Linked DNA regions of Macaca fascicularis. The protein of the gene in region 2 interacts with the protein of the main gene of each other region in a pairwise test. Links are inferred from orthologs where the notes say so. Each region holds a gene or a part of one and is shown on either strand. Other genes may lie near its edges.

The links.
Region 1: the proteins of UBXN11 (region 2) and ENKD1 interact in binary tests that used the Homo sapiens proteins (3 or more experiments, as listed by UniProt). The two-hybrid records come from large-scale screens. The link is inferred for Macaca fascicularis from reciprocal best matches to the Homo sapiens genes UBXN11 and ENKD1.

Annotation. Positions count from the first base shown.
Region 1 is NC_088394.1:63,698,613-63,713,799, forward strand, and holds the start of ENKD1 (enkurin domain-containing protein 1), read right to left. Parts: upstream 4,107-15,187; 5' UTR 3,799-4,106; coding exon 3,714-3,798; intron 3,624-3,713; coding exon 3,429-3,623; intron 2,253-3,428; coding exon 2,080-2,252; intron 811-2,079; coding exon 685-810; intron 569-684; coding exon 405-568; exon of another isoform or gene 401-404; intron 303-400; coding exon 166-302; intron 68-165; coding exon 1-67. Other genes in the region: C20H16orf86 (uncharacterized protein C16orf86 homolog), read left to right, coding at 4,859-5,435, 5,531-5,922; GFOD2 (glucose-fructose oxidoreductase domain-containing protein 2), read right to left, coding at 12,900-13,798. UniProt on the Homo sapiens protein: Microtubule-binding protein which regulates microtubule organization and stability. Promotes the stability of astral microtubules and facilitates the proper orientation of the mitotic spindle.
Region 2 is NC_088375.1:208,828,431-208,843,641, reverse strand, and holds the start of UBXN11 (UBX domain-containing protein 11), read right to left. Parts: upstream 8,473-15,211; 5' UTR 8,428-8,472; intron 3,744-8,427; 5' UTR 3,619-3,743; intron 3,486-3,618; 5' UTR 3,451-3,485; coding exon 3,380-3,450; intron 1,990-3,379; coding exon 1,961-1,989; intron 1,323-1,960; coding exon 1,197-1,322; intron 1-1,196. UniProt on the Homo sapiens protein: May be involved in the reorganization of actin cytoskeleton mediated by RND1, RND2 and RND3. Promotes RHOA activation mediated by GNA12 and GNA13.

The DNA.
Region 1 (15,187 bases), on a different chromosome or scaffold from region 2:
CTCTGGGCCCTCAGTGAGTCTGCCCCGGCAGGCAGCAGTACCAGCTCACGCAGCAGCTGGCTCTGGCCTACAGGGGGCCCGGGAACAGTGAGAACAGTGAGTGTTGGGCAGGGGTGCCTGGTCCCCAGTGGGGTCCCCCTCCAGCCTCCCTGCCCAGGTACTCACTCTGGAGCAGCTTGGTCAGTGTTTCCAGCCGCTGGTTTTCAGGCATGCGCGTGTGGCCTGGGGGCATGGCAGGGTCTGGCTGGCTCTGCTTGCGAGCCTCAGCCTCCCGCTGCCACAGGTCCCTGCGCTCCAACAAGCTGTGGGTACACAGGTTCAGGGTTGATGACCCCAGGGCAGAGGTTGGTTCCCGCCCTCCACAGGTGTCTCCCTCACCCTGAGTGTCAGGCAGTGAGACCTACTAATGCGGCACATGGCCCTTCTGTGTGGCATTGTAGTGCTCCTGGGCCTGCCGCTGCTGCTCTAGCACTTGTGCCAGGACCTGCAGCGAGCAGGAATGCCTCCGGGGGGCCCTCTTCGCAGCTCGTGCATTGTGACGAATGAAGTCCACCCCCAGGCCTGGCTCCTGCAGGACACAGCAAGCGTGGGTGGGGGCAGACAGCATTATGTTGTGTCCCTGAACCCCCACCACACACCAGGAACCCTGCCCAGCCACCATCCAGCCCCCACACATCCTCTCACCTTAGCTTTGGGACCTGGTGGTGTTGGCTGGGGACTAGGTACACGGGGTGGTGGGAGGCCAGGGCCGCAGCGGGAGTGCGCCCGCAGGAAGTGTGCAGACTCTGTCCCAAAGGCAGGGCCAGGCTCCTGGAGGGCAGGGCACAGCAGAGAGACCAGGCAGGCTGAGGTCTGGGGCTCAAGCTGCAAAACCCTGGCCCTCTTGGCCCTTCTGACCTTTGCATCCGTGTCCCTCGGGCCCTCTTCCCTCTTCAAGAGACAGTTGTCCTCATCAGCACACAAACGTGTGAGTACGTCACATTTTTAAGAAAACAACAGGCCGGGCGCGGTGGCTCAAGCCTGTAATCCCAGCACTTTGGGAGGCCGAGACGGGCAGATCACGAGGTCAGGAGATCGAGACCATCCTGGCTAACACGGTGAAACCCCATCTCTACTAAAAAATACAAAAAACTAGCCGGGCGAAGTGGCGGGCGCCTGTGGTCCCAGCTACTCGGGAGGCTGAGGCAGGAGAATGGCGTAAAAAAAAAAAAACCCGGGAGGCAGAGCTTGCAGTGAGCTGAGATCCGGCCACTGCACTCCAGCCTGGGCGACAGAGTCAGACTCAGTCTCAAAAAAAAAAAAAAAAAAAAAAGAAAACAACAAACCATCTCTCCTTCCACCTCAGTACTGGCCCACCTACCACTCTCTTTCATCCTTCCTAGCCAAGCTTCCTGGCTCTAGCCCCGCAACGTTCCTGACGGCTGGCCTCCAAGTCCTCAAATCCAGGCGGTCACTTCCTTGGTCTCGTTGTCCTCAACCTGATCGTCAATAACTCCTGGGTCTCACTCCTGAGATCCAGGCCTGAATTTCCATCTGCTTCCTGGACACACTCCCACCCCCTGGGAGCCCCACAGATGCTTCAGCCCAGACACATTTGTGTGACCTTGCCTTTCCTCTCACTCCTGCTCCTCCTGCTGAGTCCCTGGATGGAAAGATGGTGCTACTCTCTACCCGAGACAGAGCCCCCCACCATACCCCTGCCCTTCCCACTGTCCTCAGAAATAAGGACTGAAAAGTGGCTTTTGTGGCCCCTGATGTGGGCCCAGCTGACTTCTTGGCCTAACTTCACGCCTTTCTTTCCTCACAGTGAACTGTACACCTGGCATCTCCACTGCTGCGTGCCCTGTGGTCTGTGAGTTTCCATCTTTTGGGAATGTTCTCCTCTGCTGTCCCCTTGACTAACTGCTGCTTGCCCCTGAGGATCAGCCCCGCCATCACCACTTCTGAGAAGCCCCCCAGCCTCGCCCTGCAGCAGAGCCAGGGTCTCTTAGTTCCCTCCCTCCCCAGAACTCGGATCAGGGTATAGCTGCCTGTTGGCCAACAAAAAGGATAATACTTCTGGCTCCCTGGAGCAGGTACCTGGAGCTGGGCCTTGACCTGGGACTCCACCTTATCGTACTTGGGTGAGCGCCACAGAGCTTTCAGGGGCCTGGGCTGTCCATGCTCTCGGCTGCGCTCCTGTTCTCTGAAGCGCTTCTGAATCTCCCTGATCCGCCTCAGGTTCTCCTTCTCATGGTCTTTAGGGTCCTTCCCTGGAGAAAAGATGCCACCAGTCTCTGCCCTACATAGGGCCCACACAATCCAACTTCCACTAGTTCACACACAGGCCTGCCCCCTGCCTCCTACAGAAAGAGTTCCCTTCCTCATGTAGTATTTCAGGATGACTGTCTCCATTATTATTATTACTATTTGAGACAGTGTCTCGCTCTGTCACCCAGGCTGGAGTACAGCGGCACGATCACAGCTCACTGCAGCCTTGACCTCCCCCGCTCAAGGGATCCTCCCACTTCAGCCTGCTGAGTAGCTGGGATTACAGACACACGCCACCACGCCAGGCTAATTTTTGTATTTTTTGTAGAGATGGGGTTTCACCATGTTGGCCAGGCTGGTTTCCATCTCCTGGGCTCAAGTGATCCGCCTGCCTGGACCTCCCAAAGTGCTGGGATTCCAGGAGTGAGCCACTGCGTCCGGGTGATTTTCTCCATTATTATAGTGAAGTATACCATAGATCATCTCATATATGACATTCATCTCCTGTTCTTTGTCTCCCACCTTGACTCAATGATGGCTCATGCTTATCTTCAACCCTGTGTTCTAGCACCTATATGGCCTGGCACACAGTGGGCACTCAACAAACAAATTTGACGGGTAATAAATGCACGAGCAGGCTGGGCGCAGTGGCTCAAGCCTCTAATCCCAGCACTTTGGGAGGCCGAAACGGGCGGATCACGAGGTCAGGAGATCGAGACCATCCTAGCTAACACGGTGAAACCCCGTCTCTACTAAAAATACAAAAACTTAGCTGGGCATGGTGGCGGGCGCCTGTAGTCCCAGCTACTCGGGAGGCTGAGGCAGGAGAATGGCGTGAACCCGGGAGGCGGAGCTTGCAGTGAGCTGAGATCCGGCCACTGCACTCCAGCCTGGGCGACAGAGCGAGACTCCGTCTCAAAAAATAAAAATAAATAAACAAACAAACAAACAAACAAACAAACAAATGCACGAAGCAGAGCTAGGGCTTCGTGGGAACTACCTTATTCAGTTCACTTCCTTCGAGAAGGTAGCACATTTCTCCCCCTTTTATAGTTGGGGAAACTGAGACTCAAGAGATGCAAAGCCTGGGCCCAGGTCAGGGCGGAAAGAGCAGCTGCTTTTGATCTCTTTCCACCCCGCATTGCCTCTCTGCCCCTTCTTCCATTCCTGGGACTTACTCTTAAGAGAGGCCCCAGGACCTAGGGAGATCCCCTCGAGTTGCAACAGCACGTCCCCGACGCCGCGCCGGCCGCGCTCCAGGATCTCTCGGGCACCGGGACCGATGCGGGGGCCACAGGGAGCGGTGGCGTCCAGGGCCCGGTCCGAGGTCAGCAAGTCCAGCTTCAGCGCGTTTCCCTCGAGGCGCCCTTGAGCTGTGGGGCGGAGCCGGGCGGAGTCCAGGACTCAGGTGGAGTCGGGGCCGACCCCTGAGCCTAGCACCACCGCCAAGCCCGCGGACTCACCCGAGGCCGGCCGCCGGTAGTAGTCAGGGCAGAGCGTCGGGTCTGGGGGGATGGGCCCCGAGATGCGGGACGGGCCCTCGCACATGCCGCCGGCACCGCCCAGCAACGGTGCCCCGAGGCCTGCAGGGCTGTGCACCTCCCTCCCCGGGCCCCCTTCCCCAACCCCGGGCCTCCTCCCTCGCCTGGGACCCTGACCCTGGCGTGCCCGTCACTCCCGGGCCCCTGCCGGTCCCTGCCTGGGCCCCGGCCTCGCTCGCCGCCTCCGCGACCTCTCCCCCCAGCCCACTTCTCGGTCCCGCTCGCGGCCTCTCCCCCGCGGCACTTGGGCAGGGGCTCACTCGAGAGGTTTTGCCGCCAGCCGCTGCCACCCGACGGGAGTTGTTGTTGCCGGGCAACCGTGGCTTCCGTCCCCGGGGTCAGGGCCCACTGACCCTGGCGCAAAGCGTCCTGGGGCTTGTAGTTTCCGCTGAGTGTGGGCTCCGCGGTCGCGGGTTTCGCTTCCCAGCTCTGCCCTCGCTTGCTGGCCCGTCTCCAGGGTCAGCGCGGGGCCACCATCCAGCCGCTCGGGGCCCTCCCCAAGCAGCTGTGGAGGATGCACTGAGCCTGCGCAGCCATGGCCTCGGCAGGGGCGGAGAGGCGGCCGGGGGTCCAGGAGGCTACGGTCGTGGGGCAGGGACAGCTCGCGGAGGACCCCGGCAGCGCTGAGACCTCCGAGGTGACCGTCAGGCTGTTTAACCTTCAAACAGGGGGCCGCAGCACTCTGAGAGGCGGAACTCTGAGCGCCCCGACCCGCTAACTGCCAGGCTGGGCCCTCCAGGCGGGGAGGGGCACAGGCTGGTGTCCTTATTCCCGTTTCGGTGTCTAATGTTAGGTGTTCAGTGACGGATCCCTATGTCCTTTGCCCGACCATGGTGACCGATGGCCTGTGTGTCACCTCTAGTGTCCAGTGGCGGAAGAACATTTCCTGGTGCCAGCCCATGAGGCCCGCGGAACCCAGGGTGAAGACCAGCGCCCAGCAGGCGCAGCTTCGGAGCTGGAGCTCCAGGAGGAAGGACCCAAGCTGGGGGAGGAGAGGCCCAAGCCGGAAGCCGGGGCGCTAGAGGAGAGAGGCCCCAGGCCCGTGGTCTCCATTGTGAGGCCCCGTCATGGTCCAAAGAGAAAGCCTGTCAAGTGAGGGGGCTCTGGGGGAGGAGGAGGGGAAGGAGCTGCAGGCCCGGGGTTGGGGCACACACCCCAGTAGCATTCCTGATTCCTGCACTCCTGCAGGAAGGATTCTTGTCCCCTGTCACTACCATCACTCTCCTCTCCCGTTCTTCCAGAGCCCCCATGTAGGGAGCAGCAGGAGAGTGGGAGCTTCAGGGTTTGTAGGGCACTGGGCTCACTGGCCTCTAAGCCTCTTGGGCCTGGGGCCTCATCGACCAGGAAAGGGGCAGGCGTCGAGTCCTGGGGCGGTGGGCAGGCTGGGGTATTCCCTGCGTCAGGTCTCTTGTCCCTGGCTCAGGTCCCTCAGCCTCCCGGGCCTTCGTGCCCATCCCAAGGCTGAAGCTGAGCTGCCACCCAGGCTGCCGCTGCAGGAGGAGGAGCCAGAGGGCAGCCAGAGTGAGCCCTCACCATCTGCCAAACAGCACAAAAAAGCCAAGAAGCGCAAGAGCCTGGGGGCTCCCGTGCTCCACGCTGTGGCCAGCACGGTGTCTGCACCCTTAGAGACATTGGGGCTGGAGCGTGAGTGGCAGTCCCTGGGCTGTTCCTTCTCCCTGTGGGGCCTGACATGGCACAACCTGGCGCTCTAGCCTCTGCCCTGCCCTGGGTCTTTGCAGGAAAGGCCCAGCGCCTGCGGCCCCTGTACCAGTACATCAACTATTGCAACCCCGAGCTGAACCAGGCAGGGGAGGGGGACGGGGAGGCCGAGGTGGAGGCAGAGGCAGAGCTGGCCCTGGTTCCTGAGGAGGCAGGTGTGGAGCAACTGCAGGCCTTGCTGCCCTTGGCAGGTGAGCTGGGCCCAGGCCTCGCTTTGCCCTGTCCCAGTCCATTAGTGACCCCCATCCATGCTCTGGCTCCCCTCGGAGAGGAGGCTGGGGGCTTGCCCAGCTTGGGGGTGAGTGACCACCACAAGGCTGAGGTGGATAAGTCAACCCAGGTGGACATCGACAAGATGCTGAGTGTCTGCACTGCTCCGCTTGTCCCCCCGCTCTCTCCTCAGTACAAGTGACTGTCCCGCCCCACTGGTGGCTCCCCTCCTTCCATGCCTGAATTTGGCTTCAGGCTTCCTGTGGGCCTAGGCCCTCTGGTGGAGGGGGCAAATTTGGCACCTGCCCCCACTTGGGACTTTGGGCTTGCTGAAAATAAATATTTTTCTTTTTCAAAGACTTTGTGATTCCCCGGATAGGTTTCCTGAACTGGGAAAGAGGATGGAGGACTCAACAGTGCAGGGTTTGAGGCCTGAATGGTCATCTGCATCTCCTGAGACTTTGACAATGACAGATGCCTTTGTGCCACCCCATGCCTCACTGAATTGGGGTGGACCTGGTACTGTGTGTTTAGGTGAATCTGAGGGTCAGGCGGCTAACTGGGTGATGAAGAGGGAAGTGAGGAGGAGGAACTTGGAGCAGAGGAAAGAAAGGGTCTGTAGGGTCATGGGAAGCAGGTGTTTGGCCCTACTCTTTGTCTCCTGGGGAAGGGCCTGCATTTGGTTTCACCTTGAGGGGATCAAAACTTGGGATCATCCTAGGAGGTAGCTCAGAGTTCTTTTGCCTGTCGCCGGAGTGAGAGCTTTGGGATGTTTTCCACTCATTGCCAGACCATAGCTGGACCGGACCTTGTCCATGGAGTAGCCCCTGGTCACAGGTGACAGGGCATCAGTGATGTTTTCCTGACAGGCAGGGGTGGGCAGGGGCAGTAAGTGCATCTGGGGCCCTGAGGCCAAGCCACTGGATGACAACTGTGTACAACCGGCAGGGATCTCTGCTGCCAGAGCCAGCCAGTGTTGGCCATTTTGGAAACTGCACATCCTGGGCCTCCTGTGTGTTCCTTGGACACCGCAAACAGACACACGGAATTTCAAGTTCATGGATAATTTCCCCTCCCTCCAACTGGCTTTTCCTCCTGTATCTCATCTGCGCAACTGTTTAAGCTAGAATCTTGGATGTCACCCCAGACTCCATCCTGTTCTTTGCCCCCTGATTCCTACAAGCTAAGCAGACATTGAGGCCAGTGAACATACCCTTTCAGGCTGAGAACCTCTCGGACCCCACAGTCAGCACCGTTGCCTGGACCACTGTCATCTCCAGGTGACAGCCTCACTGGTCTCCCTGCCTGTCGTCCCTTGGCCCACAGATCCATCCAGTGGCCCTGCGACACACACACCTGAGCCCCTGATGGTGTCACTCCCCCTTGGGATTCCCCTTCTCTTGCCCCAGCTACCTTAGAACTCAGTGGCTTCCTGTAATTCCCTGAGCAGTTACACCTTTTCCTCCCTTTACTCTGTGCATGTGGGGTTTCCTCTGCCTAAAATGCCTTTATTCCCACCTCTCCCCCTGGCTAGTGCACATATACCTTTGAAAACCCTGCTTCCTGGGGAGGCAGACAGCATGCCATGTTGCCCTGCATTGTAACACCTACATGCTACTATCATGTGGGTTTTAACTGTCTTCAGGGCTAGATTGTGAGCTCCCTAAGGGCACATCTCATTGCATCACATCCACCAAGCCAGAGGGCCCCCTAAAAGGCACCAAGGTGATGAGACCGAAGTGAGGGTGGAGGAAGTTGCAAAGAGGGACATGCCGGAATCTGAAAGGCTGAGGTCATCCCGAGGACACAGTCATGTGTAGGTTCCCTGGAATATGACCTGGGAAGGTCACTGGAGGAAGTGGGATGGGCAGGTTCGGGTGGGAAAAGCAGGGTCCCCTTTCTGGCATCATCCCAGGCTGCTCCCTCCTTTGACAGGGTCACTTGGGGGCTCACTGGCCCCATGGCAAGCCATGGGCTCAGGATGTTTTTTTTTTCTTTGAGACAGGGTCTCCTTCTGTCACCCAGGCTGGAGTGCAGTGGCACAATCTTGGCTCACTGCAACCTCCACCTCCCGGACTCAAGGATTACAAATGTGAGCCACCGTGCCTGGCCAAAAAATTTTTTTGTGGAGATAGGGTCTGTGTTCCTCAGGTTGGTCTCAAACTCTGGACCCCAAGCAATCCTCCCTCCTTGGCCTCCCAAAGTGCTGGGATTACAGGCATGAGCCAACACACCCAGCCAAGATAATGGAGCTTAACCTCCTCGCTTTATGGTTGGGAAGGCAGAGGCCTGGAGAGAAGTGGCCTTGCAGGAGACTACACCCTGGGATCTAGGAATCCCTGTCCTCAGTTGTGCAGGATCTGCCGACCTGGGGACTCTCTGGCTAAGGCCTAACCCCAGAAGGCCCCCCTATCTTTGTGCAGCCTCCAGGGCTGGAAGTGTAAGCAAGGCCAGCACTGATAAGGAAGAGCTGGTCCTGTCTTCTCACAGGCGAGGCAGGAATTAGAAATCGTGGGAGAACTAGTCTGCAATTCCTGAGGCCTATTACCCAATGGACTTGTCTAAGCAGGGTGGGTGGCAGGAACTGCAGAAAGGATCAAGTCCCTACTACTCCTAGAAGCTCGCTGTAAAGGGGCAATGCTACATGATTTAGGGAGACATGTGTAGCTGGGTGTGGTGGTCTGTGTCTGTAGTCCCAGATATTTGGGAGGCTGAGGCAGGAGGATAGTTTGAGCCCGGGAGTTCAAGACCAGCCTGGGCAACATTTTTCCCTGTCTCAAGAAGTAAAAATGATGCAGCCATAAAAAAGAATGAAATCGTGTCCGTTGCAGCAACATGGAAACGGCTGAGACCACTATCCTAAGCAAATTAACACAGGAACAGGAAACCAAATAGAACATGTTCTCACAAGTGGGAGCTACACATTGGGTACACATGGACACAAAGATGGGAAACACAAACACAAGACTATGAGAGGGGGCAGAGAGGGGGTGGGGTGAGTGTTGAAAAAACCTATTGAGTACTGTGTTCACTACCTGGGTGATGAGAACAATCGTCCCCAAACCTCAGCATCACACAGTATACACATGTAACAAACTTACACATGTACCCCCTGAATGTAAAATAAAAGTTGAAATTACATATTCAAAACAAGTGGCCAGGTGCAGTGGTTCATGCCTGTAATCCTAGCACCTTGGGAGGCTGGGGGGGGGGGGCAGATCACTTAGGCCAGAAATTCAAGACCAGCCTGGACAACGTGGTGAAACCCCGTCTCTACTAAAAATACAAAAATTAGGCTGGGGGCGGTGGCTCACGCCTGTAATCCCAGTACTTTGGGAGGCCAAGATGGGTGGATCACGAGGTCAGGAGTTCGAAACCAGCCAGCCGGCCAACATGGTGAAACCCCGTCTCTACTAAAAATACAAAAAAATTAGTCGGACGTGGTGGTGTGCGCCTGTAATTCCAGCTACCTACTCGGGAGGCTGAGGCAGGATAATTGCTTGAACCAGCGGGGTGGAGGTTGCAGTGAGCCGAGATCACACCATTCCACTCCAGCCTAGGCAACAAGAGCGAAACTCCGTCTCAAAAGCAAACAAAAAACCCCCCCAAAATTAGCCAGGTGTGGTGGCGGGCACCTGCAGTCCCAGCAACTTGGGAGGCTGAGGCAGGAGAATCACTTGAACCCGGGAGGTGGAGGTGGCTGTGAGCCAAGGTGATGCCACTGCACTTTGGCCTGGGTGACAGAGTGAGACTCTGTCAAGAAAAGAAAGGAGGGAAGGGAAGGGAAGGGGAGGATAGGGAAGGGAAGGGGAGGGGAGGGGAGGGAGAGAGGGAAAGAGGAATGGAAGGAGGGAGGGAATAAAGGAAGGAAGGGAGGAAGGAAGGGAGGGAGGGAGGGAAGGAATAAAGGAAGGAAGGAAGGGGGAGAGAGAGAGAGAAAGAAAAGAAAAAGAAAGAGAGAAAGAAAAGAAAAAGAAAGAAAGAGAGAGAGAAAGAAAGAAAAAAGAAAGAGAGGCCGGGCGCGGTGGCTCAAGCCTGTAATCCCAGCACTTTGGGAGGCCGAGACGGGCGGATCACGAGGTCAGGAGATCGAGACCATCCTGGCTAACACGGTGAAACCCCGTCTCTACTAAAAAATACAAAAAACTAGCCGGGCGAGGTGGCGGGCGCCTGTAGTCCCAGCTACTCGGGAGGCTGAGGCAGGAGAATGGTCTAAACCCGGGAGGCGGAGCTTGCAGTGAGCTGAGATCCGGCCACTGCACCCCAGCCTGGGCGACAGAGCAAGACTCTGTCTCAAAAAAAAAAAAAAAAAAAAAGAAAAAAAAAGAAAAAAGAGAGAGGGAGGGAGGGAGGGAGATGCAACCTCAGTGCAACTGAGGACCAAGGCTGTGGGACCACAGGTTGGGGAGTGGCTACTTTGCCGAGGGCAGAAGTGGTGACCAGGCAGTCCTCCAGCTGACTCCTGAGAGAGGTGGTGCCTTCCAGGCAGAGGACGTGCCAGGGACAAAGCCCTGCTAGTATGGAAGCTGCCACCTCTGCAGGAGGGCTGCTTAGTGTGGCTGGAGTGGAGGGCACGGCCATATGGAAACCAGGTTGGGCAAGTCCGGGGGTGAGGAAGAGGGGTGTGGACAGGGAGGGATCTTGGCGTGGCGTTCAGGAGAGGCTGCTTGGCCGGCAGGGTGACGGGCAGAACAGGAAAGGAAGCGGCTGCCACTGTCTGGGTGAAAACAGTTCTGGATTTGGTGAAAACAGTCCTGGATTTGGCTGGAGGTTGAAGAATAAGCAACAGGTATTCTGGAAGTTCTCTTCTGGTTGCTGTATCTGATGAGCAAAGCTAACTGCATTTTTACTGTTCTGGAAATACTTTATTTTGACCTGAGAAAGAGCTAGCTAGTAACATCCTGAGATTTGGAAACAGGTCCTGGGAGATGCTGTCTTCTTCCAGGAGGGGGCACTGCTGGACAAGTCTGGAACCAGTGTGGGTTCAGTCCCGCATGGAGACCAGAACCCTGTGGGCTCCCTTGGCCACAGGTATCTGAGCACATCTGTCTTCCCCATCCCATGTGGGACTGACCAGCTCTGATACCCAGGAGATACTCGATAGTAAAGACATCTGAGGGAAGAGGCCATGTACCCCTCTGGCCATGAATCTAGGCTCTGGGGATTCCCTTAGAGGAAACGGGATCCTCATTGAAGTAGCTCTACACTAAGCCCCAGCACATTCTGGGAACCCAAGTGCCATTCTGGATGGCCACATGGCCCTTTCTTATGTGGGAGCATGTAAGTCGGGCTTGTGCTTTCCTGGTCAATTCCCACATTTCAGAGCAACCTCAACATCCTAGCAACAACATGGGAGGACTGAGCTGAGCTAACTGTCCCAGGGACAAGGGGGCAGCCTCCCCTTTAACCTTCAGTGTCCTGCCTGGTGGTGGGTGCTGTCTGCACTTCACTTCCTAGTTCAGGCCAGGCCAAGGCTTCTGCAGCAGGCAGAGGCAATGCCGGGCCCTCGGGTGTGAAGACTCCCAAGTGCTGGGAGGAAGTGTGGTTCAAGGTCAGGCTCTGCGGTTAGATGGTCCTGACCAGGCTCCCAGCTCCATCATGGACAACCTACAGGAGACAAGTAGCTTTGCCCTCTGTGCCTCCATTTTATGATCTGAATGATGGGAATATTTACCGTCAGAGAGTGGTTTGGAAATTAAGTGAAATAATAACATACATGTTTGCCCTGAGGGTCAGCATGCAGTAGGCACACTCCAACCCCATCCCTTGTTATTCCCTCTCACAAGGATATCTGAATCCAGTACATGACAGGAAAACAAGCCTGGTGACTTCTAGAAGAGGTGCCAAGAGGAAAAGGAAGCCCTCCCTGGGCTTTTCTGGCAAGGAGCCCAGGGCAGGGAAGTGGGCGGAAGGTTAGAGAAGGGAACAGAACTCGGTCCAGGCTGAACGAGCCTGGCAGGCTGGTCAAAGACGCAATGGGGAGGGCGTGTCCTTTCTCATCACCACTCCCCACCCCAGCTTCTGGAGGTGGGTAGAAGGCTGGCCCTGTGCAGAGCACAGTCAAGAGCACAGTGGGTGATTGGCCCTCAGGTCCAGTCACAGCTGCTCCACGGGGCATGCCTGGAGCTCTTCCTCCTACTTCTCACCCTGTGCCACCTCCCTGAAACCACTCCTCCCCGCCACCTCAAGGGCACTCTGGCAGCCAGCACCATGACATTAAGAACAGAACCCCTCCTGACCTCCAGCCCAGTGAGGCCCCAAACTCTCCCGATATCTGCTGAGACGGCAGGCGCAGCAGCAGCCCATCAGGAAGTCCTGACTCCTGTTCTCTGAGGAAATCTTTTCTTCGGAGGCTCCTGGGATTTGGCTATGAGGGAACAGGTAGGAGACGAGGGCTGGAGGGGCAGCAGCCCGTGTGGCACAGTTGACGGTGATGACCCACGGCTGGCTTCAAGCTGCTGTGGAGCAATGAGTGAAGAGAAAAACCCCCTACAGCAAGAAACAAGCCTTTCAGTATTAAAGAAACCCAACCTACCAAACAAACACCACATGCCATGTCCTATTTTCTCAATTATTTATTAACATTTCTCAGATGTTCTAAAGCCCTCCCTTGCCTCCTCTCTGCCAAATCAGGGCCCTCTGTCCTACTTCAAAAGCCTGAGAGCTCACTTAATAAAGCAAGCCCCAGTCCCCACCTGGGAAGGGCCTGGTCACATGGGAGGGCAGGTGAGGGTCCCTGAGGGACAGCTTGTTGCCCTCACTGTTCCTGAGATGTCCCAGCCCAAGAAGGAAATGAAACTTCTCATCATTTCTCCTCGGGCCTCAGCCGAGCTGGCCCTATTGTGCTTTCTCACCATTAGGACTGCGGATCAGGCTGAGGGGCTCACCAGGGTGAGCCTTTCCGAGTCCCACTCACTGGCATTGCCATGAGGAGGCCCGGCGGCAGCTCTGCCCTCTGCACGCCGTGGTAACCTGGCCAACAAGAACATTTGCCACCCTGCAAGTCTGAGGAGCAGGTGAGTCGCTGGAGGGGGCGAAGTCCCAGGGCCACCTCTGGCTTCACCCAGACTCATTAAGGGTGAAAGATACCATCTCTGCTAGGGCCAAGCCCCTGTCACATCTGGCTCCTGTTCCCCTCCCTGGTCCCTCTGCCCTGTGGCAAGGAGCCCAGGTGCAGGTTCATAGGTTGTTCCGCTGAAGTGCCTCACACAAGTTCTGGTTGGTGTCGGGCTCCTCCGTCAGCACCTCCACAGCCTCCCACTCCCCGGATCGGCTCGACCTCTTGATGGCGTCTACCACACTCTGCATGTACAGCCCATCTTCGAAGGAGGCGGCCATGGAGACAGGGGTGCGGTCCCAGGTTCGGCGGTCACCCTGCCCCTGGAAGGACTGGCGCAAGGCCTGCACCATGTAGACCATGCCCTTCAGGTACAGCAGCGGGACGTCCTGGGGCCCCTGTTCTGGCAGCCCCGCACCCACGGCCAGCGAGTCCCTCAACAGCAGCTCCTCTTGCGTGGCAGAGTTCTTCTGCCCATAGAGGTCAGCTCCCCGGGCGACGAGGCGTCCTGCAGAGCCTACCACCATGACTTCATGCACAAAGGCGCCCGGCATGTTGAAGTTGAGTGTCACTGTGCTACACACACCCCCACCCATGAGCATTTGGAAGAAACAGAAGTCATCGCTGGTGACGTGCCGGATGCCACGGATGGCAGCGTTCTGCCTCACAAATGTCTTGAGCAGCCCGTGCACCTTCTCAGCTCTCCGGCCGGTCAGGTGGGTCAGCAGGTCCACAATGTAGGTCCCCATGGTGTGCAGGCCCCCGCCACCCATGAGCTCATCACAGATCCAGCCATAGCTGGGGCTCAGCAGGCTGCCTGAGTAGATGCGGGCATCGCAGATCATCACTGCTCCCACGTAGTGCTCTGAGATCAGCTGCTTCATGCGCACGAAGGCAGGCAGGAAGCGCAGCACGTTCCCTACCAGGCTCATGAGCTGTGGGTAGTAGCGCGAGGCTGTCACCATCCGGAAGGCATCCACCGATGTTGCTGCCTTCTCGCAAACGACATTCTTCCCAATACCTAACAATAGGACACAACAGGAAATCTCAAAGTTCCAAGGAGGAATCTCCAGCATGTCCACCTGCCCTGAGGATTCTGGACTTGTCTGCCTCACAACTGCATGAACTAATTTTTTTGTTTTCTTTTTTGTAGAGGTGGGGTCTTGCTATGTTGCCCAGGATAGTCTCAAACTCCTGGCCTCAAGCGATCCTCCACCTTGGCCTCCTGAGTAACTGGGACCACAGGTGTGTACCACCACATCTGGCTAATTTTAAATTTTTTTTGTAGAGATGGGGTCTCCCTCTGTTGCATAGGCTGGTCTAGAACTCCTGGGCCCAAGTGATCCTCCTGCCTTGGCCTCCCAAAGTGCTGAGATTACAGGTGTTAGCTGCCATGCCTGGCCCCAAATTTCTTCAAATAAATCTTTTCTCTCTTAAACACCCTATTGGTTCTGTTTCTCTGGAGAACCCTGAATAATACAGGTGGGCTAGAGAGGTTGGCACACTTCATGGATGTGTCTCTATGCTGTCATGCATTTATTAGGTCATCAGCTTGGGGCAAGGGAATCTAACCTATTTTCTAGGGGATGGGCTAGTCATAACTCCCACTCTTAGTCATAACTCCAGAGAGGGCCCTAAGAGTCCCTGCAGATTGTTTTCTGAAAACACTGGTCCAACAAGTTAGAGTGGCCCAAGGCTAGAAAATGCTCGGCTCTCGTAGGACGGGAAGGAAGTGAGAATACCCTTTTTGCCCTCACACCCATTCTGGGTACGCTGCAGTCAACACGCACCCAGAGCTAAACAAAGCTGGACAAAGCCCTGAAGAGAGTGCTAGAGGATGAGCAGCTGGAAACTGAAGGGATGAATGCTGCTCCATGTTTCAAGATGAAAGCTCGTGAGGATATGAGCAGCGATGAGACACTAACACCTGCAGTGTTCCTGCAAGCTTCATGTGGTTCAAGTCAAAGGAAATCCTGTGCTAATACCTTAAATAGAAAACTTAGAAAGCCCAAAAAGCAGTATGGACTAGACACATACAGAAGTTTACAAGTCATAGTAAGCCAGGAAGGGTAAATACCCACGAAAAAGCTCTCCAATGACCAATTGCTTCTTGGAATAAAAGCCGAAGTCCTTACAAAGGCCCCACCCATAAGGTCTTGATACGTGATCTGTGCACTCCTCCAAAATTTTTTTTTTTTTTTTTTAATTGAGATAGAGTCTCACTCTGTTGCCCAAGCTGGAGTGCAGTGGCTTGATCTCGGATCACTACAACTTCCACCTCCCGGCTTCAAGCAGTTCTCCTGCTTCAGCCTCCTGAGTAGCTGGGATTACAGGCACCCACCACCATGCCCGGCTAATTTTTGTATTTTTAGTGGAGAAAGGGTTTCACCACGTTGGCCAGGCTGGTCTC
Region 2 (15,211 bases):
AAGGACAGATATTGACTGGGAGTGGGAGAGGAGGGGATGACAGGGGAAAGCAGGGAGAGGACACCTGGAGCTTTTTCAAAGAGAGAACCTGGTTGCCATGGTTACTACTGAAAGTGACCTGGCTGGGTACAGTGGCTCATGCCTGTAATCCCGGCACTTTGGGAGGCTGAGGCAGGAGGACTGATTGCGCCTGGGAGGCTGAGGTTGCAGTGAGCTGTGATCACACCACTGCACTCCAGCCTGGATGACAGAGCAAAACCCTGTCTCAAAAAAAAAATAAAATAAAAAAGAAAGTTGACCCTAGTCAGGGTATAGGAGATCCTGGCTTTGTGATGAATTGGCTGCAGGACCTTAGGCCAGGCTCTTCCTGTCTCCTTTTCCACCTCAATCCCCTCTGCCGGTAAAATGGAGGGGGCCTGGTGGAGGATCATCAGGCCCTTCCCTGTGGCTGGCCTCCTTATGGGCAGCCACCACGCTGAGGACCCCATGTAACAAGCACTGGCCAGGGGCCTTCCACCGAGGAGCATCTCATCGAATCCTCCCAACACGCTGCCCTCGCTGTTCCCATGCCCACTTCACAGAGGAGGCCCCAAGAGACAGAGAGATGCAAAGTTGCTTGCTCAAGATACTACAGCTAGTGAGCTAGTGGAAAGTTCTAACCTCATCCCCAGCATCCCCAGATCCCGCCCAGCACTCTGCACAGCTCATCCCTGCCTGCCCATGTCTCCCCTTTTCTCGGACTTGCTAAATCCCCTCTCTGGGAAGCCACCCTGATCAGCTTCATCCCACTTTAGGTGCCTCCATGAGCTCAGCATTGCCACAGCCCTCTGCCAAGCTAAGTGGACTGTCCAGGCAACTTTGCGCCTTGCCAGAGCCCTGCAGAAGCAGGAGGCTGAGCTCTACCCTCAGGCTCTTTATCCCTCTCTGACCCTGAATCCTGAGCCCACTGATATCATACCTGGCAACTACAGCCACAGCCTGGCCTGGGGCTGGGGCTGGGCCAGGCCTCCTGAGCTAAGGGTGGGGCTTGTGTGGCTTTACGCAAAGCCAGGGCCCTGCCACCGTCAGCCAGGAGTGGGAGCAGCTTCCTCAGACCAAACAGGCGAGAGGAAGGGCCATGCCTCCCCAGGCCTTGCTCTTTCTCTGGGGCCCCCTCCTGCAGCCAGGACCCAGACCCTTCGGGCCTCTGCTCTCACCTTGCCGACTCACAGGGGCACCTATGCCGCCATAGCAGGAAGGGACTGAGATCTTTTCTTCTGAGCCACGCCCATCACTCAACATGTCCACCTCATCTTCTGCAGACAGGGATGCCCAGGTCACTGCTTTGGGGCCGAGGCCCAGAGGAAACTCACGCCCTGGGCCCTGGCCAGTGTGACGCAGCCTATGCAGTATGCCCCAGGGAGTTTGAGGAGAGAGAATTCACAAGGCTGGGGAGCAAGGACCCAACCAGAATGGGGCTGTTCTTGTAGTTCTTCCAGTTCTGCTCCCAGAGGGACCTGCATAGCCAATGCCAATGCTATGGTGGGGTGTTGGGGGGTGGGGATCCAAAGGCCTGAGCTACAGGAGTCAGGGTGGCAATGTGTGCACAGGCCTCTTGGGAGAAACGGCTGTCATGCTGGAAGAGGCTGGAGGGGGAAGGTGGACTGGGATCCCGACCCCTGGGCTGGGTAATCTCTTGGCCCCCACGTGGTTTCTAGGCACACACTGGCCAGTCCCACAGTGGGTCAAGGGGTTCGAATGTGAGTGGCAACAACTGTGCCAAGGGTATGGGGCCTCCTAATCTGAGAGCTTCCAGGAGGGAAGCCCAGCCCTCAGAGAGGACAGTGTGGGAGCTGCAGATAACACAATGTAGGCCGCTGCTCCAGCTGACAAGGGCCTTGTGATTTCTCTCCATTGGCCCAACTGTAGGAGGTGCGAGCACATGAGAGGCGAAGAGGGCATGAGGGCAGGGCACACTTACCATCCCCGTAGATGCGGATTCCTCGCCTCCTGGAAACCCAGGCAGGAGGAAGGAAGAAATATAAGTTAGGGCCCCTGGAATGATACCAGGGATAAGGCTCTGGGCACCGGACTTCAGTCAAAACTCAAAGAGATGGAAGCGGGGCCTCTACCTCCTGAGGACTTCCAGCCCCAAATCCCAGCCCCAGCCTGGGGTGAGACAAGGGACAGGCTTCAACATGACTCACTTTGCCCAGTGGAGAAGGATGGGGAAGGGGTGAAGAGCAGAGTCTTAGTGGGAAGACTACAAGACTTGCAAAGCCCACGAGTTCAGCCCCAGCTCTGCTCTGCAAAGGCTGTGAGGCCTGTTGCTTAACCTCTCTGAATCTTCTAGGCCTTAGAATGACTCAAAGTGGGGCCAGGCGCAGTGGCTCACACCTAGAGTGCTGGTAATCCCAGCACTTTGGGAGGCCGAGGTGGGCAGATCACGAGATCAGGAGATCGAGACCATCCTGGCTAACACAGTGAGACTCGTCTCTACTAAAAATACAAAAAATTAGCCAGGCGTTGGGGCACGCACCTGTAGTCCCAGCTACTGAGGCTGAAGTAGGAGAATCGCTTGAACCTGGGAGGCAGAGGATGCAGTGAGCTGAGATCATGCCACTGCAATCCACAGCCTGGGCAACAGAGCGAGACATGCTCTCAAAAAAAAAAAAAAAAAGGCCGGGCGCGGTGGCTCAAGCCTGTAATCCCAGCACTTTGGGAGGCCGAGACGGGTGGATCATGAGGTCAGGAGATCGAGACCATCCTGGCTAACACAGTGAAACCCCGTCTCTACTAAAAAATACAAAAAACTAGCTGAGCGAGGTGACAGGCGCCTGTAGTCCCAGCTACTTGGGAGGCTGAGGCAGGAGAATGGCATAAACCCGGGAGGCGGAGCTTGCAGTGAGCTGAGATCTGGCCACTGCACTCCAGCCTGGGCGACTGAGCGAGACTCCGTCTCAAAAAAAAAAAAAAAAAAAAAAAAAAGACTCAAAGTGGTATTCCGAAAAGCAAGAAGGAAGAGAGGTAAAAAATGTTTTGAAAACATGAAAGTGCAAGACAGATGTAAAAGATTCCCTTTACTGAGAACCCCAAACAGGGCCTGGCCCAGGATACGTCCATACACCATCTGTGTTTGCAGAATTAATCAATGAACAGTGAATGAACAGATGGGATGCCAAGCCACTCCTCCAGGGCCCATACCTTATTAAAAGCACAACCCAGTTTATGCTCAGATCCAAAGCTGGGCACCCCAGAAGAAGGTATAAAGAAAAAGACAGTGGTCAGAGAAGGCTATGTGGCCCTTATTTGTATTCCCCAAGACACTAGGAGTCATTGTCCTCTGGCCATGGAAGGATGGAAGGCAGGGACAGAAAGACCCCTGAGGCTGGCTCCTTACCCAGGATTCACAGGCTCCGAGGGCAGGGGCACTTTCCGGGTCTTGCTAAGGGAGGCCAAAGGTGAGCTCATAGTTCTACTTCTAGAATCCAGCTGTCAGGAACTCCCTAGAGGAATGCAGGAAGTCAGCCCTTGGGGACAGAGGGGATGGACTCAGGGCTTCAATCCCAGGGGGTAGTCTGAAGTTTCCACATCCCTGGCTACTCTTCCTAATGGGAAGCACTGTCTAGGCTGCAGTACCTTTTGCCGCTTCCACTGTCCCCACAGAGGTTTCTGGAAGTTTCTGTTATCTGCCTGCTCCTCTGGGTATACGGCTCTCTGCTCTGAACTGTGAGACCTTTGGCCTGGTGGTTCTTGGGAAAGGACTGTGAGGGTGGATGGGATGCAGAAATGAGTCAGAAGCCTGGAACTTTCCCAAACTTAGAGTCTGAAAATGCTACCACCCAGGAGGCTGTCCGTCCATTAGCCAGCTGGGTGACACAAAGCCCAAGTGTCTCCTTCCCTTCCACCAGAAACCTGGTGCCACTACCAACATCTCAGAGCCAGAGAGGGCAACCCACAGGCAGGATTCAATCAAGACACAGTCTATGTGGGCCGGGCTCGGTGACTCACGCCTGTAATCCCAGCACTTTGGGAGGCCGAGGTGGGTGGATTGCCTGAGATCAGTGGTTTGAGACCAGCCTGTCCAACATGGTGAAATCCCATCTCTACTAAAAATACAAAAATTAATTGGGCGTGGTGGCATGCACCTGTAGTCTCAGCTACCTGGGAGGCTGAGGCACGAGAATCGCTTGAACCCAGGAGGTGGGGAGGTTGCAATGAGACGAGACTGCGCCATTGCACTCCAACCCGGGCAACAAGAGCGAAACTCCATCTCAAAAAAAAAAAAAAAAAGACACAGTCCAGGTGACGCCAAGGTTAAGATGCCAGGTTTTGCCACTCACTGGAGTAACCCATCCTCAGTTTCTTTTAGTATAAAATGGGGGTAACAGTACTGGCACAGGCAGTGTTCTGAGCAGATTCAGAGGTAACAGAGGTCTAGCCCAGCGCCAAGCTCAAAGCACTGAAAAATGTGAGTTGGGGCTGCTGCTGTTTTTGCTGTTGCTGCCACAGGAGGCACTCCTACATGTTAGTTTCCTTTCATTCCCTCTTCCTTCTGGAAAGAGGAGTGCACCTGAGGGACATAATCGAAGGCTACTACTCTATTCAGTAAATGACCTTAGGTGATCCACCCGCCTCGGCCTCGGGGGCCTCCCAAAATGCTGGGATTACAGGCATGAGCCACCGCACCTGGCCTGGATCAAATTTTTTAGGACAAATCCAAGCAAGCTCCACTTTGAAAATGTCTGGTTCTGGCCTCAGCCCTACTTCTGAAGCCAGTCAGCAAGGGAATCCATGCTGCCTGGAGGCAGCCTCCAATGCCTTCACTGCAGAGTTTGAGAATCATGACCTGCCCCTTCCTTGGAAGGAGCCCTCCTCAAGGATCAGGCCCAGAGTTTCTTCACCCCCACCCTGCCCCAGCCCCCTGCCCTTCTGGGCAGCCTCATGGGTTGTATGGCCAAGTCTGAGAGCCCCTCATGGCTCCCTTCATTAGTTCCCATGTGCTCCAGAGAGATCTTCTTAAAACATAAAGCAGGCCGGGAGTGGTGGCTCATGCCTATAATTCCAGCATTTCTCACCTAGGGAAAAAAATTCAAAATTCTGGCCAGGCGTGGTGGCTCACGCCTGTAATCCCAGCACTTTGGGAGGCGGAGGAGGGTGGATCATCTGAGGTCAAGAGTTCAAGACCAGCCTGACCAACATGGCGAAACCTCATCTCTACTAAAAATACAAAAACTAGCCGGGCATGGTGGGGGGCACCTGTAATCCCGGCTACTCAGGAGGCTGAGGCAGGAGAATCGCTTCAACCCAGGAGGCGAAGGTTGCAGTGAGCAGAGATTGCGCCACTGCACTCCAGCCTGGGTGACAGAGCAAGACTCCATCTCAAAAAAAAGTTCATAATTCCTTGATATAGGTGACCTGGTCCCTGCTTATGTCTCCTGACCTCATCTCCCATCTTGCCGCCTCCCACACTTGAGCCACCGGAACTGCTAGCAATATCTCAAATGCACTTGTATCCCGCCTGCCTCGACCTCAACCCCCCCACTCCCAGAATGGTCTCCCCACCCCTACCTGCACCCTTCCCTTGGCCAGCTAACTCTTCAGTTTGTTTTTCACTTATATTTTAGCTTTTTATTTGAAAGTTATTATAGATTCACAGGAAATTAGGAAAATAGTACAGAAAGATCCTTTGTATCCTCTACCCAGCTCCCCTCAACACATTTTTTTGTTTTGTTTTTTGAGATGGAGTTTCGCTCTGTCACCCAGGCTGGAGTGTAGTGGCGCGATCTCAGCTCACTGCAACCTCTGCCTCCTGGGTCCAAGTGATTCTCCTGCCTCAGTCTCCCAAGTAGCTGGGATTACAGGTGTATGCTACCACACCCAGCTAATTTTGTATTTTTAGTAGAGACAGGGTTTCACTATGTTGGCCAGGCTGGTCTCAAATGCTTGACCTCGTGAATCCACATACCTTGGCCTCCCATAGTGTTGGGATTACAGGCATGAGCCACTGTGCCCAGCCAATAGTTAGATTTTATATAACTACAGTATGATATTAAAATCAGGAATTAGGCCGGGCGCGGTGGCTCACGCCTGTAATCCCAGCACTTTGGGAGGCCGAGGCGGGCGGATCACAAGGTCAGGAGATCGAGACCACGGTGAAACCCCGTCTCTACTAAAAATACAAAAAATTAGCCGGGCGCGGTGGCGGGCGCCTGTAGTCCCAGCTACTCAGGAGGCTGAGTCAGGAGAATGGCGTGAACCCCGGAGGCGGAGCTTGCAGTGAGCCAAGATCGCGCCACTGCACTCCAGCCTGGGGGACAGAGCGAGACTCCGTCTCAAAAAAAAAATAATAAAATAAAATAAAATCAGGAATTGACATTTTTTCTACAGTTTGTATGTATAGTTCTATGCTGTTTGATCACATGGGTAGATTAAATCACATAGGTCAAGTTACATGGGTAACTACCACTGCAATCAAAATATAGAACTATTCTAGCCCCACCAAGATCTTCCGCATGGCCCTCTTTATAGTCACACCCATCCTGCACCCCTCCCCCAGCCCTAACCACTGGCAACCAGTACGTTATTTTCCATCTCTAATTTTCTTTTTATTTTCTTTCCTTTTTTCTTTTTTTTTTTTTTTTTTTTTTTTTTGAGACGGAGTCTCGCTCTGTTGCCCAGGCTGGAGTGCAGTGGCCGAATATCAGCTCACTGCAAGCTCCACCTCCTGGGTTTATGCCATTCTCCTGCCTCAGCCTCCCGAGTAGCTGGGACTATAGGCGCCTGCCACCTCGCCCGGCTATTTTTTTGTATTTTTTAGTAGAGACGGGGTTTCATCGTGTTAGCCAGGATGGTCTCGATCTCCTGACCTCGTGATCCTCCCGTCTCGGCCTCCCAAAGTGCTGGGATTACAGGCTTGAGCCACCGCGCCCGGCCTCTTTTTTTTTTTTTTTTTTGAGACAGAGTTTTGCTCTTGTTGCCCAGGCTGGAGTGCAATGGCGCGATCTCGGCTCACTGCAACCTCTGCCTCCCAGGTTCAAGCAATTCTCCTACCTCAGCCTCCCAAAGTGCTAGGATTACCGGCGTGAGCCACCGCGCCCGGCCCATCTCTATATTACTTCAAAAAAGTTACATAAATGTAATTATACAGTATGCAACCTTTTTCATAAAACAGCTTTGAGACATAATTCACATATTTCACCTTATTACAGTGTAAATTTAAGTTTTTAGTATATTCACAGAGCTGTACTACCATCACCACAATTTTAGAACATTTTCATCAGCCTAAAAAGACCTTGTACCCTCTAGCAGTCACCACTTACTCTCCAGCCCCCACCCCTTTTCCCAGCCAGTCTTAGGCAACCACAAATCTACTTTCTGTTCTATAGACTTGCCCATACTGCACATTTCATATAAATGGAATATATACTAAAATATACTAAAAACGATTGAAATTTACACTTTAAAGGAGTGAAGTATGTAGTACGTGAATTATATCGCAATAAAGCTGTCACAGGGGGAAAAACAAAAGACAAAAAACTCCTAAACCAAATTCAACATCTTCGTCAAACTCACTTCCTCCCCTTCCCCCTTCTTAATGGGACTCCATCACCCAACCACAGCATTTTTCTCTCCTTCCTTCCCTCTTACGCCATCTTTCCTCTTACACCAAACCCTGCAGGTTAAACTGTCTCACACATAGCTGCCCCTTTCCATGCCCACTGTCAGCTATCCTAGTGGAACTCACTGCCCATTCTGGGAGCTGTCACGTGGCCCCCAACTGACTTCCCTACTTCCAGTGTCACTCCAGTCCAATCCAACACATTGTCTCCAGGTTAATCTTCTCCCAGATTACAGGGGACCCTGAGGGCAAAGGCTGCATTTCCCCTTCCGTTTGGGGGGACTCCTGAGGGCAGGGGCGTGTCTCTTCCTCCTTCAGATTAGGGAGCCCTGAGGACAGAGTCGTCTACCTCCTTCACTTTGGGGCTTCCAAGGGCAGGACTGTGACTACCCCTCAGGCCAAAAGCTCCTTAACGCAGAGTTGTCACCCACTTCAGATCTGGCTGAGAGCAAAGCTGTGTACCATGCCTCTACATCTCTGGGACCAAACTCAGTGCTGTGGTTGACTCACAACATTCTTCTTCACACCTCCTCGGCCTAGCCGTCATCCCCAGGGCCCAGAGCTCTGGCGGGGACACGGTCCGGCCCGCAGCCAGCCGTCACTCCCTAATGCCCCCAGGACGCGTTTAGGGAGAGACGTCTATCACGACCTAACCCAGCCCTGGAAGCCGTGTCGCCTCCTTCCCCCTCCACGAGTAATCATGGTAAGCAGGGTCCCGAACCCCTCCTGTGGGAGCCGCGGAGCTCGCAGGCCCACGGGGCTCTAGGGGCTCGGGCTCCAGCCTGCGAGAGGACTCTAGGGGCAGAAAAGTCTTGGGCCAGACTCACCACGCAGGGCCGCTAGCCGTCCCGCGGCGCCGCCATCTTGTTGTCACGCGGTTTCCTAGGCGACCAGGACCCGTGCACTTCTCATTGGCTAGTTTGAGGGAGGCCTGAGCAACCTGCAGACAGCGAAGGTGGATACAGTCGCCTATGCTCGGATTCTATTGGCCCAAAGAGTCGGCATTCTTCGCGGGCGAATCCCAGAATGCACCGCTCTGAGCGGGCTCCAGGTCCGGGGATGGGGGAGTTCGTTCATACCCACAGGTGCAGGAAGGAGGAACCTGGGATTAGGTTGCTGAAACTGCTGGAAGCCTCTGAACCTGAATGTGTGATCCCGACAGTGCCGCTATTTTGCTAAATTGATCTTGGGGGGAATTATCCCTCTTAGCTTATTTCCCCATATGATCAGTGTTGTAACACGAAGTACTATAATACTTAGCGGAGGCTGCTTTGAGGATGGATTGCAATGATGCAACTACTTAATAAATGTTTCTTAAATCTGAGTTTCTGTGATAATTCCTTGTCCAGATTGGCGCCCGGAAGGGAGGCCCAAATTCTATTTCCCTTGCGTAAAAGTTGGGTAAGACAATTTCCCCTCCCTGAGCCTCATCTGTAAAATTGTTGGATTAGACTCAGTCACCAAAGCAGCTAAAGGCAGTTAAGAGCACGAACTCTGGAATTAGGAGTCCTGGCTCCTGACTGTGTGTTCTTGGACACTTTATACACCTTAGTTTTTACATCTGTAAAACAGTGATAATACTCACCCCCACTGGGTTGCCGTGAGGATTAAATAAGATATTGCAAAGTACACGATTTTAAAGGGGAAAGCCGAGACAAACAAAAACACCTGTAGAGAGCACTTTTTCAAAAACGTTTCCTGCTGTTAATCATCATCATCATCTCTCCACCCTTTCAGCTGTGATGGTCTGGCAGTTTATGAGTTCTGATCTCAGGCACTCACTTCTTGGTGCCCAGGTTCAAAAGCCCTTTCTCTGAACAACACAGAGTGCTTTTTTTTTTTTTTTTTTTTTCCATTTGACTTTCTAGCCTACCACATTGTCAGGGAAGGGTAGACTCTGCTCACTGCAACATCCGCCTCCCAGGCTCAAGCCATCCTCCCATCGCAGCCACCAGTGTAGCTGGGACTACAGGTGCGCACAACAATGCCCAGCTAGTTTTTGTATTTTTTTTTTTTTTTTTTTTTTTTTTGTAGAGACGGGGTTTCGCCATGTTGCCCAGGCTGGTCTCAAACTCCTGAGCTCAAGCGATCCACCCATCTCTGCCTCCCAAAGTGGACGGCATTCTTTGTATGCAAATTGGAAGCTAAAGAAAGCTACCACTACTGAGTGCCTTCCAAGTCAAATGGTAACATGAAATTTACAGATGAGGGCCCGGCACAGTGGCTCACGCCTGTAATCCCAGCATTTTGGGAGGCTGAGGCAGGCGGATCATCTGAGGTCGGGAGTTCAAGACCAGCCTGACCAACATGGAGAAACCCCGTCTCTACTAAAAATACAAAATTAGTCAGCCATGGTGGCTCATGCCTGTAATCCCAGCTACTCAGGAAGGCTGAGGCAGGAGAATCGCTTGAACCCAGGAGGTGGAGGTTGCGTTGAGCTGAGATCACCCCATTGCACTCCAGCCTGGGCAACAAGAGCGAAACTCCGTCTCAAAAAAAAAAAAAAAGAAAAGAAAAGAAAGAAAGAAAAAGAAAAAAGAAACCTACAAATGAGAAAACTGAAGCTCAGGGTAGTACAGTGGCTTGCATAAGATTATAAAGGCAGGAAGCAGAAGTGGATTCAAACCCAGAACGGTCAGCCTCAAGACTCCATGCTCTTCCTAGAAACTTTCACTCTGGTAAACAAGGCAGGCATAGATAAGCTGACGAAGCAGGTAGTACAGACCTACTGCCAAGGGAGTAGTCTGGGCAGAAAGTGTGACTGGAGAGTGGAGGTAGGAGGAGCTCTCTTGTTGCTGAGCTGCTCCCAGAAAGTTTTCTCAGGTTTTAGGTATATGAAGATGAGAAAGACTGAGATCATGCTGGGGCCAAGTGTTTTTTGGGGTTGGACCCATGGTCAGGGAGAGTAACAACTTCATGCTGTCACCTTGCTCTGGGAGATAAGCAAGCGTGGGAAGCAGGAGCTCTGGCCTCATGAGCCCTGCTGTGCTCTGCCCTCTGATTCGTGCCTCAGCAAGAACCAGATCATGAGTGGCTTACCCAGGCACCAGGATTTACCCCATCCCTTCTTCCCACCCAGGGCCTGGCTGGAGATTCCGCAGCAGGCAGACACTCAGCAAACATCTAGTTCCTGGAAGGAAAATGGGAGCCCTCTAACCTGGCAGGCCAGTTGTTTTTGTTTGTTTGTTTGTTTGTTTTTGAGACACAGTCTTGCTCTGTCACCAGGCTGGAGTACAGTGGCACGATCTCGGCTCGGCATAACCTCCACCTCCCTGGTCCAAGAGATTCTCCAGCCTCAGCCTCCAGAGTAGCTGGCACTACAGGCACGCGCCACCACGCCCAGCTAATTTTTTTGTATTTTTAGTAGAGACGGGGTTTCACGATGTTGTCCAGGATGGTCTCCATCTCCTGACCTCGTTATCCGCCCACCTCAGCCTCCCAAAGTGCTGGGATTGCAGGCATGAGCCACTGCGCCCGGCCCCAAGTCGAGTGATTTTTTTTTTCTTTTTCAAGACAGAGTCTCACTCTGTCACCAAGCTGGAGTACAGTGGCGTGACCTCAGCTCACTGCAATCTCCGACTCTCCGGTTCACACCATTCTCCTTCCTCAGCCTCTGAGTAGCTGGGATTATAGGCACATGCCACCACCCCCAGCTGATTTTTGCATTTTTAGTAGAGATGGGGTTTCACTTTGTTGGCCAGGATGGTCTCGATCTCCTGACCTCGTGAACCACCCGCCTCAGCCTCCCAAAGTGCTGGGATTACAGGCGTGAGCCACCACGCCCTGCTCGTTTGATTTTTTTTTTTTAAATAACATTTATTGGGGAAGTCACAGCCTTATTATAAAAACATACACTTTCACTGGAGAAACTTGGAAAATAATAATAGCTATCATTTGTTGAGGATACATTGCACTGTGAATCAGCATAACTTAACAACTCTATGAGGCTGGGCTCTGTCGCTTAATAGCTGGCTGTTCCTGCTCAAGATACTTCATCTACCAGTCTCAGTGTCCACACCTGTAAAGTAGAGATACTAATAGAATCTACCTCCTAGGATTATTGTACAAATTAAATTTCCCATAATGGGGCGCCGGCCTCAGCATGAGTGGGGACAACACTGAAAAAACTATATACACTATTTTAAAAATTCCTATAATGTTGTTGCATTATTGCTTCTGAAAAGGTGTTTTTCTTTTCTTTCTTTGCTCATTTATTTATTTTTAGAGACAGGCTGTATGTTGCCCAGGCTGAATTTGAACTCCTGAGCTCAAGGGATCCTCCTGATCCTACTTGAGGCCTCTCAGCCTCCCAAGTAGCTGAGACTATACCCTCTCGCCACTGTGCCCAGCTCAAAAAGGAGTTTTTGACTGGGCACAGTGTTTCACACCTGTAATCCCAACATTTTGGGAGGCTGAGGTGGGTTGATCACCTGAGGTCAGGAGTTTGAGACCAGCCTGGCCAAAATGATGAAACCCTGTCTTTACTAAAAAATACAAAAACTAAGCCAGGAGCAGTGGCTCATGCGTGTAATCCCAGCACTTTGGGAGGCTAAGGTGGGTGGGTCACCTAAGGTCAGGAGTTTGAGACCAGCCTGGCCAACATGGTGAAACCCCGTCTCTACTAAAAATACAAAAATCAGCCAGGTGTGGTGGCATGTGCTTATAATCCCAGCTACTTTGGAGGCTAAAGCAGGAGAATCGCTTGAACCTGGCAGTTGGAGGTTGCAGTGAGCCGAGGTCGCGCCACTGCACTCCAGACTGGGCAATAAGAGCAAGACTCCATCTCAAAAAAAGAAAAAATAAATAAATAAATTAGCAGAGCACGGTGGTGGACGCCTGTAATCCCAGCTACTTGGGAGGCTAAGGCAGGAGAATTGCTTGAACCTGGGAGGTGGAGGTTGCAGTGAGCCAAGATTGCACCACTGCACTCCAGCCTAGGCGACAGAGCCAGACTCTGTCTTTTTTAAAAAAAAAAAAAAGGAGGTGTTTTTCAGAAACAAAATTATAAAAGAAACCAAGAGTCTAAGCTCATCTGATTTTTTTTTTTTTTTTTGACCTATATTTCTCTTCCTACATCTTAGAAGGTCTGGAAATCTCTGAGGTCTCCAGGCTCACAAGACTTGAGTATTGTGAGGGCCTTGGAGATCCATCCAACCACTTCCAAGCTGGAAAAATTCCCTCTGGACTTCCGAGATGGGGTTGCCCAGCCTCATCGTGATCACATCCAATGGTGGATATTCACTGTCTGATGATGGTACAAGGGTCCTGGCCTGGGAGGAGGGAGGTCCTGAACAAGGCTCTTTCTGGACCTGTTTCCCCACCTGCAGGGTGAGGAAGTAGACCCCAGCTCTGGGGCTAGATGGCTCTGGAAGTCTCTATTATTATTATTAATTTTTTTTTGAGATGGAGTCTCACTGTGTTGCCCAGGCTGGAGTGCAGTGACGTGATCTCAGCTCACTGCAACCTCTACCTCCTGGGTTCAAGCGATTCTCTGCCTCAGCCTCCCGAGTAGCTGGGATTACAGGTGCCCACCACCATGCCCAGCTAATTTTTTTGTATTTTTTAGTAAAGATGGGGTTTCACCATGTTGGCCAGGCTGGTCTTGAACTCCTGACCTCATGATCCACCTGCCTCAGCCTCCCAAAGTGCTGGGATTATAGGCGTGAGCCACCGCGCCCGGCAGAAGTCTATTTTTTTTTTTTTTTTTTTTGAGATGGATTTTCACACTTGTTACAAAGGTTGGAGTGCAGTGGCACGATCTCAGCTCACTGCAAACTCTGACTCCCGGGTTCAAGCGATTCTCCCACCTCAGCCTCCCGAGTAGCTAAGATTACAGGCACGTGCCACCATGCCCAGCTAATTTTTTGTATTTTTAGTAGATACGGGGTTTCACCATGTTGGTCAGGCTGGTCTCGAACTCCTGACCTCATGATCCGCCCACCTCGGCCTCCCAAAGCGTTGTGATTACAGGTGTGACCCACCGCACCTGGCCAGAAGTCTCTATTCTTGAAAGCAGACAGAGTCTGCTTTGCTTTTAGGTCATTTCCTGAAAGACCCTTATCAGTTATGACCCCTCTGAGGTTAAAGAGTTTATTGAGTTCTACCAGCTCAGGAAGTAAGAGGTAAATAATGAGGAGAAAGAGTTCCTCCAAGTCTCTTTAGCAGAATACAAATCTAGCTATCTCTTCCACCTTCCCCCTTCTCCACCCACATCACCACCACCTTAGACGAAGCCCTCATCATCTACAGCTTAGCTGGATATTTAGAGCCCTCCTATTTTGGGTTTGGCCTTTCTCATGTTCCCGAAACCGTCATGTTCTTCCCTACGTTCTGGCCTCTCCTTCCAATGAGAATATCCTCTCTTGCCTTTTCCATTTGGGAAAATTCCCACTCCATCCTTCAACAAGTTCAAATGTCCCCTCCCCGATGAAATCATCTCTGGTTCATCCCCACTCCCCTGCAAGCAGAACCACACTCTACACTCCACTCTCTGAAAGTCCTGCTGCAATTATAGCATTTCCTTTTTTTGAGACAAAATCTCTTTCTGTCACCCAGGCTGGAGTGCAATGGCGGGATCTCAGTTCACTGCAATCTCTGCCTCTGGGTTCAAGTGATTCTCCTGTCTCAGCCTCCAAGTAGCTGGGATTATAGGCGTGCACAACCACGCTTGACTAATTTTTGTATTTTTAGTAGAGTTGCGGTTTCACCAAGTTAGCCAGGCTGGTCTCGAACTCCTGAGCTCAGGTGATCTGCCCACCTCGGCCTTCCAAAGTGCTGGGATTACAGGCATGAACCACCACGCTTGGCCCATTATAGCATTTCTTATTCAGTTTTGTGATTTTCGTATGAGTGTCCCTGCTAAACTATAAATTCCTCAGGGGAAAGGACTCTCATTCATCTTGCCTGACACACAGTAGGTGTCAATAAATTAATTAAAAGAGTGAATGAGGCCAGAACACAGTGGCTCATGCCTGTAATCCCAGCACTTTGGGAGGCCGAGGTGGCAGATCACCTGAGGTCGGGAGTTTGAGACCAGCCTGGTCAACATGGAGAAACCCTGTCTCTACTAAAAATACAAAAAATTAGCTGGGCATGGTGGCATGCACCTGTAATCCCAGCTACTCAGGACGTTGAGGCAGGAGAATTGCTTGAACCCAGGAGGTGGAGGTTGCGGTGAGCCGAGATCGCACCATTGCACTCCAGCCTGGGCAACAAAAGTGAAACTCCATCTCAAAAAAAAAAAAAAAAAAAAAAGAGTGAATGAGCAAAAGACTGAATGGATAGGTGGGTGGATGGATAGCTGAATGAATGGGTGGATGAAGATTCACCTTGGATGCTGTATGATGCTACTGAATCCCAGCCCCGTCTCAGTGAGGATGAAAAATTCTGGGTGGATCACACTGTGATGTGTGCTGGAACTCTCTTCTCCTTCCTCCCTTCCTGCTGTATTCCATTATCTCATTGATGAAGGACATTTGGAGAACCTGGCCTATGTGAGACTGTGCTAGGCCCCAAGGACAGCCATCAAAAGACACTGTGGAACTGGGATGGGATGGTGATCTAAGGCGCTTTGCATGCCTGGACTCCTTTTGTTCTGCAGGTCTTAGCACA